Linked DNA regions of Macaca mulatta. The protein of the gene in region 1 interacts with the protein of each later gene in a pairwise test. Links are inferred from orthologs where the notes say so. Each region holds a gene or a part of one and is shown in the gene's direction. Other genes may lie near its edges.

Region 1 (5,155 bases):
GAAAGATTCTAAATGAGATCTACTCAATGCCCATGCTCTTAACTACTAGATTACATTGACTCTCAAACAAGTATAGGAGTAAAATATTAGGAGATTGTGCAATATCATTTATTATTCACTTAATATATCTTGTAGTTGCTAGTTTTAGAATGTACTAAAATAAACCTGCCAAGCAGTAAACTAGTGAGACAGTCTACTGCCTTCCCCCAGGTCTTCATACTACGTCCTTAAACTCAATAAGCAAACTGCAGCTATTTGGACACTTTTGCATGGACAATTCAGTTTACAATCTAATGTCAGCAACTCATAGCATTAACTCTTGGTTTGTCAATAATAATAACAATCACAATATTATTATTAAATGCACTATGCTTTAGAGCAGACTTTTATGTATATAATTAGGTGAACTCTACTGTGGCTAACAAGAGGCTCTATTGGACTTGGATGAAACTCAGTCTCTGGGATGATCTCTGCTGTTTGTCAACTATTCTAGTTCTTCATCTGACCTTCAGGTCAGGGAACAAGTCAGGACAAGGTAAGACTGTGTATTAGTCTGTTTTCAAGCTGCTGATAAAGAAATACCCAAGACTGGGTAATTTATAAAGAAAAAGAGGTTTAATGGGCTCACAGTTCCACATGGCTGGAGAGGCCTCACAATCATGGCAGAAAGTGAATGGCATGTCTTACCTGGCAGCAGGCAAGAGAGAATGAGGGTCAAGTGCAAGGGGAAACCCCTTATAAAATCATCAGATCTCGTGAGACTATTCACTTCCATGAGAACAGTATGGGGGAAACTACCTCCATGATTCAATTATCTCCCACCAGGTCCCTCCTACAACATATGGGAATTATGGGAGCTACAATTCAAGATGGGATTTGGTTGGAGACACAGCTAAACCATATCAGATTGATTGCACTCACTCCATACATCACAAAGCATGTGACGGCCACAAGACCATGAGGGGAAGTGACAGTAGTATTGCTCTGGGCTGGAAGTTTTAATTGCTAAAATGAGAACTCCTTGAGAATTCATCTTCACTTCACCTTGACTACAGTATTCCAAATAGTGATGACTCTGTCCACTTGGCATTCACAGTGAAGGCAAATGTAGCATGATCAGCTGACTACCATACAAGTGTAGCTTGAGTAAAAAGCAAAGTTTTGTTTTAATTAACAGAAATCTTGTGGCTACATGTTATCACAACATAACCAAGCCTTCTGGATTGATAAAGGCTCACGGCATATAACGACTTATCCAAGATTATACAGGTAGAAAATATCAGAAGTAATATGTTAGTGCTTTTCTCCATACTTCATAAATGCTAATGTCAGTGTTCCTTCCATTTGGTCCCAGTTTGCTTCATTGGTTCATTGCCTCAAAAATAAACAATATTTCCCCAGGTGCCAAGATATAAACATAGGTGTAATCAGTCTAATCTGGGTTTAATAGATTCCAGTTTTGTAAAATAAAGGAGGTTTGAGATTTTCACTTATTTCATAACTAAGCCAAGAAGCTCATACTTAGTCTCTTCTAGTACATGAAGTTTAGAATTCTTACCAGTCCCACCTTTGGGAAAGATAGAAAATACTTCTTACCTCAAATAATCAAATCATTGGTCAGATAAGAAGTAGCAATTCAGTAACAAGGACTGTAACACAGCCCAGGGTGTGGCACCCTCCTTTGAGATCCTCTGGATGACCTCACAGGAAAGGTGGAGAAACCAAGCCTTGCATATATATAAACATGACCCCTTTCCTGGGCTATGGTCGATGCAGCTGTAGTGACAATCTCAGAGCAGCTTCTGCACCACAGCCATTTCCAGCATGAAGATCATTGGGGGTCTCCTTCTGCTCTGCACAGTGTTCTATTTCTGTAGCAGCTCAGGTAAGTTAAGGTCAGACGACGCCCTATATAGCCATTAAGCTTGTTTTCACAAATAATCCCTCCTGGGATGTGAGCATCTCAGAAACATCTGGTTGTAAGAATTTAAAGTGTACTGGTTTGTAATAGGATCTTATGCTCCATCTGGAGTTTGAGAGACTTGAGTCCAATGTCTTTCAAGGATTCTTATTTGCATCCATAGAACAAAAATCATCTAATTTCTCCATAAGTCTTCCATTTCATATGTTCATATGGACACTGGAAGTTGTCAGTGTTATTAGATATACTATTTCTTAGTGCAAAGATACAGAAAAACTTGGATGTCTTCCCAAATCAGTTTGGAGGGATTAAAATAAAACACAAGTCTCAAAAAGCCAAGGGTCAACAATCAGACTTTTATACTTTGAAAAATTAATTAGTGTTTCCAATCCCATAAAGACATTCCATTGCATTTCTTTATGTCAATTGGGAAGGAAAGGATATCAGAAATGATCCTTCAGGCTCTTAGGAGTGATTATTTTAATACTTCTTATTACTACCTGACTTTGGCCATTATCAAAAACACTATGAGGTTCAGAAAACATCCTGTGATCAACAAAGAGAGGAAATTTTGATAATTTTCTTGCCTAAACCAAGGGTTAACCTAACCCACTGGTCATTCAACTTCCTCAGCAAACAACTAGGATTTTGCATAAGGGTGGAGAGTGTGCTAAATCTCATTGCTAAAGGAAATGTAGAGTCATTATATAGGATGAAACTTAATTAATGAGATTTAAAGTTCGCTTTATTTTTAACATTTTCATCTATATCTCTTTTTCAGAAGCTGCTAGTCTGTCTTCAAAAAAAGTAAGTATGTTGAATAACATTTTAATGTCAATAACAATTGACTGTCATTTAGTCAACATATATGTAGGATAAATTCAGTATGTTTCAGGGGATTTGAGAAGGAGGCAAACACACGTGGAGAAATGGTATCTGCTTTCCAGAAGGCAATTGAAGAAATATGGCATACATATAAACAACCATATTTTAAAAATGTTTTTTAAAAATTCCAGAGTTAAAGGAGGGAGAATTGCCTTCCAGCTGAAAGGTTGGCAATGTTTTCATAAAAGGCATCACGTGTAAAAGGCAGGGAAAAAGTACTTTGATAAATTGCACAGACTCTGGGTTCAAATACTAACTCTACTACTTACCAGCATTTATCTTCAAAAAGTTATCTCTATTTCTAAGCTTTAATTTCCACATTTGTAAAGAGAGGTAATAGTAGAATTTGCTCTAGTTGTTCTGAAGATTAAACAAGAAAATTCACATAAGATTTAAGTTTGATGCCTAGCCCAGAAACGCCCAGCAATTTTAACTGAGTGTAGTAGAAAAACATAGAATACCAATAGTGCTAGTATTTGTAATAGTGATAACACTAGTACTTACAGAAGTGGCCAAGCAACATCTGATTATCTGAGCTGGGACTTCCAGCCCTTGTAGTATATCTAATAGTGGACAGAGTAGCCTAGCTTGCGGTCTTGGAGAAAAACAGGACATTTGCTTGTGTATGACACAGGTGGACTGCAGCATTTACAAGAAGTATCCAGTGGTGGCCATCCCCTGTCCCATCACATACCTGCCAGTTTGTGGTTCTGACTACATCACCTATGGGAATGAATGTCACTTGTGTACTGAGAGCTTGTGAGTACCTCATAAGAAGAAAATGAGATCTGGAGCCAGTGCTCTCTACTACAAACCTTTCTACTTTCCAGGATCCAGCTTACATCTCTATAAGCTATAATTTATAATTATCCCCACCCAGAACAGCAGGTGGGGAAAAAAAACTGACTGTTTCACAATCAGACAGGGTAGAGTCACCTGCTCTGACAGCTTGGACTGGTTCCATCCCATCACAGAACCTACAATTCCTGTCTGTCAATTGTGAGAATCCAGTAAGATGGTGGATTCTCAAACTGCTGTCCCCAGAGCACAGAGGTTCTATAGAGGCAAGTCAGGAGTCGCTATTAGGGTTAAAGGGACCATTTGGGGTAGTTTACAACATAAAGTTCAGCTTGGACTATTTTAAGCAGTGGAGTGCCATACAATATCATGTTTGAAGAAAGGGCCCTGAACTCCCCATCCCCCCAAAAATAATTGAAAACTACTATACTACCTGACTTCTAAGATACTTAACAGTCTTAGTGCAGCTTGATTCTTAGATAAAGTGTGCCTAGAGGTTCTTTATCTTCAAATTCTTAGAGGCTCCATATATCTGTAGCTTTAAGGGGGAATAAGCCTACAAAAATGATTGTTTTTCCTTTATCTAAAATAAGGGATGCAAGCTGTCAGGATTTGGACCAGAATACCACGGACATGTTTTGTTTAGGTATTTTGTTTGGCCCACAAAATGTTTTTGCAGAAATGTAGCTAGGCAGATGTCACTTCTTTGGTACAAGACATGCAAATTGCACTTAACTCTCTCATACCGAGTCCACTGTGATCATTGTTAACTCTTTTAGGCCACTGGATTTTGGACACCTAGATCTTGCATTTTCATCTTTGTGATTATCTTAACAAGTGAGAATAACAAGCCCTGAGCCCAAAAGGACATATTTATGTATTTATTCCTGTTCGGGAGGTTTTATTTCACAAAAGGGAAAATTCTGTAACATAGGCAGACTGGGAAACTAGCCCTTGGCGTGGAAACTAGCTGTTTTCAAGGGACACTGAAGGGAAGCATGGTGAAAGTCCTTCTCACTAATGCAGGATCCAGCTTCGTCAAAGGCCTTGCTGACCAGGAAAAGCTGAGAGACAGGCCCTCTCAATTTGCTTTGTCAGAATACTCTTTCTTTGTTGTTTTAAGACACTTGGTGGTCAGCGGGGCTCTGGAATCAGAGGAGGTAGCAGAGGGGTGGAATGATCACTGGAGTAGGGAAATTCTGCTTCTTTCTCTGTCAGAACATGCTTTGGCAAGGTCATTCATTTTCTGAGACTCAGTTTCCTTATCTGTAAAATGAGGTTCTGCCTCATAATCTCTATAGTTCCTTTCAGTTCTAACATTACATAAAATTTCCTCTTGTGCTAATGAATCTTGTGAACTGTGTCTTCCCTTAGGAAAAGTAATGGAAGAGTTCAGTTTCTTCACGATGGAAGTTGCTAAATTCTCCATGGACATGGAGAGAAAGGAATGCTATCCTCCTCATCATCTTCATCATCCCCAGGCTCTGACTGAGTTTCTTTCAGTTTTACTGATGTTCTGGGTGGGGGACAGAGCCACATTCAGAGTAATCT
Region 2 (3,556 bases), on another chromosome or scaffold:
TACAACCCAGTCATCTGACAGATGAGTAAACCAGGGATCAGAAGAGTCCAGGCATGTAATCGCCCCAAGGTCACTGAGCAAGTGAATGGCCGAGTGACCACTGAAATTCAGTACATCTGAGAGCTCACCCCTCCTGCCCTGTGCGGTGTTTTTACTTGAGTGAGCACACAGGTCCCAGGGTGGTGCAGAGGTGTTTATTTTCATTTTGTAGTCGGCCTTCATACAAGGTGGGGGCTGGGAAGGGAAGAACAATCCAGGCCATTACCCTCATGAATTCATTTGACAAATATTTATTAAGCATCTACTGCAAACTTGGCCCTGTGTTAGAAGCTGAAGACACAATTCCAGAGGCAGGCGATGACTGCCCTTGGCGTTTCCAGTGGTCAGGGGTTGGTGAGGAGGGGCAGAGACACCAATCCAAGAGTCCCCACAGTTTATACATACCACAGGCGTGGAAAGCGCCAGGAGGGGAATGAACAGGATGTTTACCAGCACCTCCACGGGCAGCCACAGTCATGGGGGCCAGGACAGGGTCCCCAGAGGAAGTGAGATTCGGCTGAGCTAGGAAGACGTTTCCACAGGAACTTACAGTAAGGGTTGCAAGGACAGCCTGTCCTCCCCGCCCCCGCCCCACCACCTCACTAAACTCCCACTGCGGCAATCAGCATTTCCTAAGCCTGCCAGGAAGCTTCCAGTAACCGCTTCCTGACTCCTAGCATGACACACTTCGGGCTTTCCGAGGTTGATGATCTAAGACCCTTACACAGCGCCAGACACGTGCAGACAGGGAGGCAGGATGTGCCTCTCCAGACAGGAATCTGGATGCCACCTGGGCTCTTCCCCTCAGCCTCCACAGGGGAAGAACATTCTTGTGGGGGTTTTCCCTTTCAAATGTCTCAGGGCGATCCCAGTGTTCCCGCTAGTTCTTCCCTTCCCAGGCCAGAACACAAATCCTTCCCCCTCCCTGCCTGGCAAACACCTTCTTACCCTCAGGCCCAAGGCAATGGCCCACCTCCTCCCAGGCTGGATGGGGTCTCCTCCTCTCTGTTCCCCCAGCCCCTGAGCTTCCTGAGGACCAAGCTTGTGGCTTCTTGTCCTTATTCTCCCTCCTTGGTGTCTCTATGTTAGAGGACCGTCAGCATCTGCTGGGGCCTGGTCGCATTCACCCTGCTCTGCCACTCACTAGCTGTGTGACCCTGGACAAGTAACTTCTCTGGACCTGCAGTTTCTCCTCTCTACGATGAGAATATGGGAGAGTCCTTATCTTATGGGTTGTTGCAGAATGAAGTGATATCTCACACACAACACACTTCCTACGGTCCCTGTTGCACGCTCAAGTACTCAACATGCAACGGATACGTCATCAGTAACAACTCCACGGGTTTACTGTGATGCTGCACAATTATTAAGCCTTGACTGCCGCAGAGTTGTAACCTGTCTGCACTTCCAACCAGTTTTCCACGCAAGCAGCATTCCCAAGTCCCGCTTTCACCCGCGCGCTAACGGCTCAGGTTCGAGTACACGACAGGAGGGAGGGAAGCTGTGCATACGGCGGGGGCGCACGGCGTGGGCACCCGGTACACCGTGTCCTCCCGGTACACCGTGTCCTCCCGGTACACCGTGTCCTGCCGCTGCACCCAGGTCCTTCCGCCCCGAGGCGTCCCCGGGGCGCACGTGGGCGGGCTTCAGGGAACTGACCTCCCGCGGTCCGTGTGCAGGCCGGGTGCGCCCGGCCCGGTGCGCGCAGCCGGGTGTTTAGCTGGGAGCCGCGAGTGACTCAGCGCGGGGCGTGTGCAGGCAGCGCCCGGCCGGGGCGGGGCTTTTGCACTCGTTCCGGCTCTTTTCAGCTATAAACACTGCTCGCAGCGCTCCGCTCCACCACGCCTCCTCCAAGTCCCAGCGAGCCCGCGTGCAACCTGTCCCGACTCCAGCCGCCTCTTCAACTCGCCATGGATCCCAACTGCTCTTGCGTCGCCGGTAAGGGGCTGGGGATGCCAAGTATAGACTGTAGCGCTAGAGAAGCAATTTCTGACCCCTCTTTCTTTCTCTGATCACTCAATTTCAGGACAGGAGTTGCTCCTTCCCAAAGCGTTTTAGGGTATTTTTCAATCCATTCTAGGTTATTCGGAGCCCTCCTTTTACCGTTAAGGAGATCTGAGTTAATGGCTTGCTCAAGTTCCCAGGAATCGGTTGTGGACAGAGGAACTCTGCCCCGGGCTCTTAGCACGCCGTCCCACGTTCAGGTATCCAGGGACCGTTATCACCTCTGTCTTTTCTCCTTGCAGGTGACTCCTGCACCTGCGCCGGCTCCTGCAAGTGCAAAGAGTGCAAATGCACCTCCTGCAAGAAAAGTAAGTGGGATTCTCTCTTTCCTCTAACCCCTCACTGTCCTCCCAGCCTGTCCCCTCTCCACCATCCTCAGGGGAATGAAAGCAGTCTGGGGATGCCCCATTACGCGGAAGTTGTTGCCTCCTCAGTGATCCTTATCAGGGAAAGCAGGAATCCTTATTCCCTGTGTCCCTAGTACTCATCTCTGCCGCCTCCTCTCTGCCTCCAGGCTGCTGCTCCTGCTGCCCTGTGGGCTGTGCCAAGTGTGCCCAGGGCTGCATCTGCAAAGGGGCGTCGGACAAGTGCAACTGCTGCGCCTGATGCTGGGACAGCCCTGCTCCCAGATGTAAATAATGCGACCTCTACAAACCTGGATTTTTTTATGTACAACCCTGATCGTTTGCTGCATTCCTTTTTCTATGAAATAATATGAATGATAATAAAACAGCTTTGACGTGATTCTGCCTCTGGTTTCCTTTATATGCCTTAAAAATAATGGACTGGGTTGAGCGATGGAACTGAGAGGGCTCTACCTGGGCTGTGGATGGAAATGTGAGCCGCTAAGAAAGAGTGCATTCTAGCAAGCCAGGCTACCGCACTGAACTTCATCTTCTGTAAAACTGAATGGCGTTGAGCCAGATCGTATGGGGGCAGGAGGGACACATACGTGATCACTTTCAGTTTCATGTCAAATATGGCACAGAAACTTCTCCATTCCTCATTTTCACTTTCTGATTTCCCTGCCCAACTTCAGTTCTTCGTGGGATTTTAGACTTGAAAGTGACTGCAGAGGGTGAAATCCAGCTCCCCAGTGGCTAGAATCTGACATCCGGTTTCCCAAACTCCCTGTGGTGAATGACCAGTTTTGTTTTCCATTAGTCACAGACCTAAACTCTGGTAAAATAATGAGTTAATAAGAAAATGAATGCTTAAAGGACACAAAATACAAAGACCGTTTTTTAGATTCAACAGGAAATGTTCAACAAATATATGGAGAACAAATTAACATAGGAAAAATAAAAGAATGATCAACACTACACATTTGTCCAAAGTTGTGTGTTGCATCCTGGTAACAGTTCTCAGACTAGCCCCAGTGTGTGGCTGGCACACCCTGAGCAGCACTGATCCAGACATCCCCACAAGGAACCATCAGGCTTGTCCTGCCCAGTGTCACTGACAGGACACTTTCAGACCCCTGAGAGCTCCCCGTTTTGCCTTGGTTCTGAGT
Region 3 (4,895 bases), on another chromosome or scaffold:
TTCCTGGCCCAGAGGAACACGGAGGAGAACCTGGAGCTGCAGATGGAGGACTGTGAGGAGCGGCGGCTGCAGCTGAAGGCCCTGGTGAAGCAGCTGGAGCTGGAGGAGGCTGTGCTCAAGTTCCGCCAGCAGCCTAGCTCCATCAGGTGCCCCGGGCTTCCGGGGCTGTGGGTCACCCACCATGGTCTCATGAAGGCCCCTGGGCTGCAGCCAGGCTGGGAGCTGGGAGTGTACCCACTGCCAACAAGCCTGTGTGTCCCACAGAGGGGCCGGGGGACTTGCACACACCTGAGCTTCTGAGTCCCTGACTCTAACACGGAACCCAACTCAAGACCGGGCTCCTGGGTGGCCCACCATGGCCCTCGGGCCTGTGCCCCTCACTGCTGTGTCCCTATTGCCTTCTGCAGCTTCAAGTCCATTGAGAAGAAGATGACAGACATGTTAAAAGAGGAAGAAGAGAGGCTCCAGCTCGCGCAGAGCAACATGACCAAGGGCCAGAAGCTGCTGCTAACCATCCAGACGGGCATCGACAACCTCTATGTCCGGCTAATGGGCATCACCTTGCCTGCAACCCAGGTACCGGGAGTGAGGCGGAGCTGCCACACATGGGGTCCCTGGGCAGGGCCAGAGGGGAGATGAGACCCTCCTCCCGGCCTACAGAAAGAAGAAGTGCCCTCCGACACCCTCGATTTGAACAGCAAGCTGGCGTACTGCGAGGGGAAGCTCACATACCTGGCTGACAGAGTGCAGACGATGTCCAGGACCGAGGAGGTAGCCCCGGGCTGGGAGGAACCTGCACAGCCCACATCCCCTCAAAGCTGACAGCCCCCCGTTCACAGTGTCTGCACGGCTGAAGGGGGCTTTGCCCTGCAGGGTGACACAAAGGTGAGGAATGCCCTGGAGTCCTCGACTCTGAAGGAGAAGTACAACACCAGGATCAGCTTTGAGGACCGCGAGGAGGATATGATCGGTACAGGCTCCGGAGCTGGGGCTCGGGCTGCAGGCGGGTGGAACAGAGGTGGGGGTGGCGCTGACTCCCATCCCACCGGGATATCCTGGAGGCACAGCGGGGCTACAGGGTGCATCAGTTGTACCTGCAGGACTTCAATTGATGGAGGTGACTTAGTGATGCCATGGGGAGGCTAAAGCCACTGAAATACCTTATTAATTTCTCCGAAAGGAGGAGGCATGACATGCCAGACAGGCCCGCAGGAGAGGCACCAGGGCTGGAGCAGGGAGGAGGGCGGGGAAGGCCTGGGCCAGAGCCTCCACTGGGGTTTCCGCGAGAAAGGCTAAGCAGGGCAGTGTGAGCCGCTGAGGATGGGCTGGGCTGAGTCCTCCCGGCACACTGGGGCTGTCCCTGGGGCAAGGCACCTGGCTTGGGTCTGTAGAGGGCGGGGGTGATAGGCGGGTCGGGCGGCTGTGCCTGGGTGGGCTAGCCCCGGGTGCGAGCCGCTGCCTCCGCCCGCAGACACCTTCCAGTTCGCCGACGTGGACCACAGCTACGTCCCTTCGCGCGCCGAGATCAAGAAGCAGGCGCAGCGGCTGATCGAGGCGAAGCTCAAGGCGGCCAAGAAGAAGAAGAAGTAGCCCCGCCGCCCCGCTCCCTGCTTTGTTACACAAATAAACATTTTTCCAGGACTGCTGCGGACGCTGGGGCGACCGGGCTCTCGGAGAGGAGCACCGGGCACGCAGGATTCTCGGAGAAGTTCTAAGCGGGGAGGCGGCCCGGGCCGGGAACTGCGCGCCAGAACGGCCTGCGCATGCGCCGGCCGCGGGCGCCGCGCCCCATGGCCCTCGCGACGCCCTGTAGCCGCGCGCCCCTCGCGTCCCGCCGAGCCGGCGCCAAGATGGCGGCGCTGACGCCTGGAGAGTGGCCGCGCCGGAGGCCGCGGGGGCCCGAGCGGAGCAGCAGCCGCTGAGGTTCCCGAGTCACCGCTCGAGGCTGCGCCCCGGTCTCTGACCGCGCCGGCTCCGGCCTCCGGGGGGACCGGGGCCGCCGGGACATGGTGCGAGTCGCACCCCTTCCCCGCCGCCGCTGAGCTCGCCGGCCGCGCCCGGGCTGGGACGTCCAAGCGGGAAGATGTTTTCCGCCCTGAAGAAGCTAGTGGGGTCGGAGCAGGCCCCGGGCCGGGACAAGAACATCCCCGCCGGGCTGCAGTCCATGAACCAGGCGTTGCAGAGGCGCTTCGCCAAGGGGGTGCAGTACAACAGTGAGTGCGGCGGGCCGGGGTGGGCGCGGGAGCGCCGCGCGGGTCTCCGAGCCCAGGCCCTGCCCGGAGCGCCGCGCGGTGGTGGCTGTCGGTCTCGCCTGCTTGCCGGTTGTGGGGTGCGCTGGACCCGCCGGGCGCTCCGGGAGCTGGGGCGCGGGCCAGGGGACGCTAGGAGAGGCCGGGCCGGGGCTGGGTCCTCGCATCACCGGAGCCGGGGGTCGTTTCCCAACCGCGTTCGCCTGCCGCGTGTCGCTCCCGCCGCGCTGTGCAGTGGAGCGGGTCGGCGGTGCCGGGATTGGCCCGGCTGCCGGCCCGGCGGTGATTACATAACGCCAAGCAGGGCCCGCCGACCCGGGGCGCCGCGTCCCCGACGCTCCACGGTGGCCAGCCCCGGGCACCTCTCACCTGGAGGAGGTGCGGGGAAACCTGCCGGCCTTGGCGCTTTCAACGGGATTTTTCTTTGTTGACTTCCTACTGAGTTCGAAGGCAGAATATTAGCTACGCCACACATTCTCGTCTTTTTGTTTGTTTTTTTTTAAAGAAGCATTTGTAAGGGACGTATCTAGAAAAGCTCCAGAAGGCACGGACTGACTTGCGATTGTAGGAGACAGCCCATTCCTCCTGAGGAGGAGTCATTTACGGACTCCTGAGCGCCTGGGACGCTCCATTCCTTTGTTATAAATTATGTAAATTGTCCTCGACCTCTTTTGAGTTTTTCCGTTTTGCAGGCTCTTTCCCAGTAGTTTTTAAACGGTTTTATGTCGTTCCCTGCTTTGGCATTGTTTCCCTCTTAGCCATTTCCGTATGTTTCTATCAGATATTAGGACGCTACGCCTGTCCAGTTTTTTGGTCACCTTAAGGGGAGCCTTATAGTCTGCGCGATGTTTCTATGGTAATATACGATTTTAAGAACTAATAATCAGAAAGACTCTTGTGCAGGTTTAAAAACAAGTTCATGAATTCGCCTGCCGTGTCCACGGAGATGGGCCGTAGTTCTTGGCCGTAGGGACTGGACTGGAGCTAGTCCAGGAGGACAGTGAAGATGTCGCCTTCCTTAGTCCCGGCCACCGTCTGGCCTGTGAGCAAGAGGAAGCTGCAGACCACTTGGGCCGCCCTCACCCTGACACCTTCAGCAGTAAGCAAGATAAAACAACTTCTTAAAGATAAGTCTGAGCATCTAGGTATGAAAGTTGGTGTCCGGGCCGGGCATGGTGGCTCATGCCTGTAATCCCAGCACTTTGGGAGGCCGAGGCGGGCGGATCACGAGGTCAGGAGTTCGAGACTAGCTTAGCCAACATAGTGAAACCCCGTCTCTACTAAAGATACAAAAAAAAAAAAAAATTAAAAAAAAAAGTTCGTGTCCGAACCAGGGGCCGTATTGGCCTTTCTTATACTCTAGAGCATACGAAGACAAAGGACATTTTGATGAAGTTCAAATTGGAGTCAGAGTGCTCATCGGAAAGAAGGCGCAGCTAACACGTTTAGGAACAGAAATGGATTATGTTGAAGACAAATTATCCATTGTGTTTGTGTTCAGTAACCCAAGTATCAAAGGAACTTGTGGCTGGGGAGAAGGCTTGACTATTTGCAATCTCAGGATTCCTCTGGCCGGAGCTCCCGGACTCCTGTGGAAGCCTGGGGGCTCGCTGAAGAAGTCACGTGACTGGAACCTGCTTAGTGCTCTGCTGTCTGGTAAGGAAAATAAAGCGGTACATTTTGAATAAAAATAAAAGCTCATTTTAAATGTGTTATAATTGAAACTTTATGTATATCTGGCATTCGGAGAAGAGAATATTGAGTTAAAATACTGAGTTTATGCAAGTCTTTAGACTCTGCATTTGGATCCTTTATTTAATTTTATTGCTTATAATATTGGCTAAGCTCAGTATTAGTCCCTGGGAAATTAGGCCTGGACCTGGAAACTGTTCACCTTCTGAAAAGGCTCCCCAAGGGTCCTGGGTGAGGTCCACCTTACGCACCAGGACCACCCCTGCGAGTGTGACTAAAAAGGGCAATAGGGTCCTTCCAGAGGAGAAAAGCCAGTCTCCAGTACTTGGAGGACAGGTTATGATCTCCTAGAACTGAATGAAAGGTGGTGAGACTGAGAGAAATTCGGATTTGTACCTAAATTACATTTTAGAAAGATGTCGTCTTTATAGTTGAATAATATGTAGTTTTTTAACTTTTGAGTTTCTGTGTTAAAATAGAAAGTGTCTAGTATTTATTTTCTTATCTCTTTTTTTTTTTTTGAGACGGAGTCTCGCTCTGTCGCCCAGGCTGGAGTGCAGTGGTGTGATCTCGGCTCACTGCAAGCTCCACCTCCCGGGTTCATGCCATTCTCCTGCCCCAACCTCCCGAGTAGCTGGGACTACAGGCGCCGCCACCTTGCCCGGCTAATTTTTTGTATTTTTAGTAGAGACAGGGTTTCACTGTGTTAGCCAGGATGGTCTTGATTTCCTGACCTCGTGATCCTCCTGCCTCGGCCTCCCAAAGTGCTGGGATTATAGGCGTGAGCCACCGCGCCTGGCCTTCTAATATTTATTTTCTCAAATATTTTACAGAGGGTAACAGACCAGCAGTGTGACCAAGACAGAGATGAGGGTTTTTAGGGATGAGAGTTTCCAGGAACTGCTGCTGGTTTCCAGGAGTCTGGGCCCTCCTCCTGGGCCCTGCGTTTGCTCA

The links. The genes of interacting proteins can lie anywhere in the genome.
Region 2: the proteins of SPINK7 (region 1) and MT2A interact in binary tests that used the Homo sapiens proteins (3 or more experiments, as listed by UniProt). The link is inferred for Macaca mulatta from reciprocal best matches to the Homo sapiens genes SPINK7 and MT2A.
Region 3: the proteins of SPINK7 (region 1) and RABL6 interact in binary tests that used the Homo sapiens proteins (3 or more experiments, as listed by UniProt). The link is inferred for Macaca mulatta from reciprocal best matches to the Homo sapiens genes SPINK7 and RABL6.

The regions. Positions count from the first base shown.
Region 1 is NC_133411.1:157,292,785-157,297,939, forward strand, and holds the start of SPINK7 (serine protease inhibitor Kazal-type 7), read left to right. Parts: upstream 1-1,746; 5' UTR 1,747-1,824; coding exon 1,825-1,885; intron 1,886-2,702; coding exon 2,703-2,728; intron 2,729-3,440; coding exon 3,441-3,565; intron 3,566-4,978; coding exon 4,979-5,024; 3' UTR 5,025-5,155. UniProt on the Homo sapiens protein: Probable serine protease inhibitor.
Region 2 is NC_133425.1:52,178,906-52,182,461, forward strand, and holds MT2A (metallothionein-2), read left to right. Parts: upstream 1-1,887; 5' UTR 1,888-1,949; coding exon 1,950-1,977; intron 1,978-2,285; coding exon 2,286-2,351; intron 2,352-2,557; coding exon 2,558-2,649; 3' UTR 2,650-2,787; downstream 2,788-3,556. UniProt on the Homo sapiens protein: Metallothioneins have a high content of cysteine residues that bind various heavy metals; these proteins are transcriptionally regulated by both heavy metals and glucocorticoids.
Region 3 is NC_133420.1:5,658,997-5,663,891, reverse strand, and holds the start of RABL6 (rab-like protein 6), read left to right. Parts: upstream 1-1,826; 5' UTR 1,827-2,083; coding exon 2,084-2,213; intron 2,214-3,255; exon of another isoform or gene 3,256-3,424; intron 3,425-3,567; exon of another isoform or gene 3,568-3,945; intron 3,946-4,895. Other genes in the region: CCDC183 (coiled-coil domain-containing protein 183), read left to right, coding at 1-146, 408-576, 661-771, 874-970, 1,472-1,590. UniProt on the Homo sapiens protein: May enhance cellular proliferation. May reduce growth inhibitory activity of CDKN2A.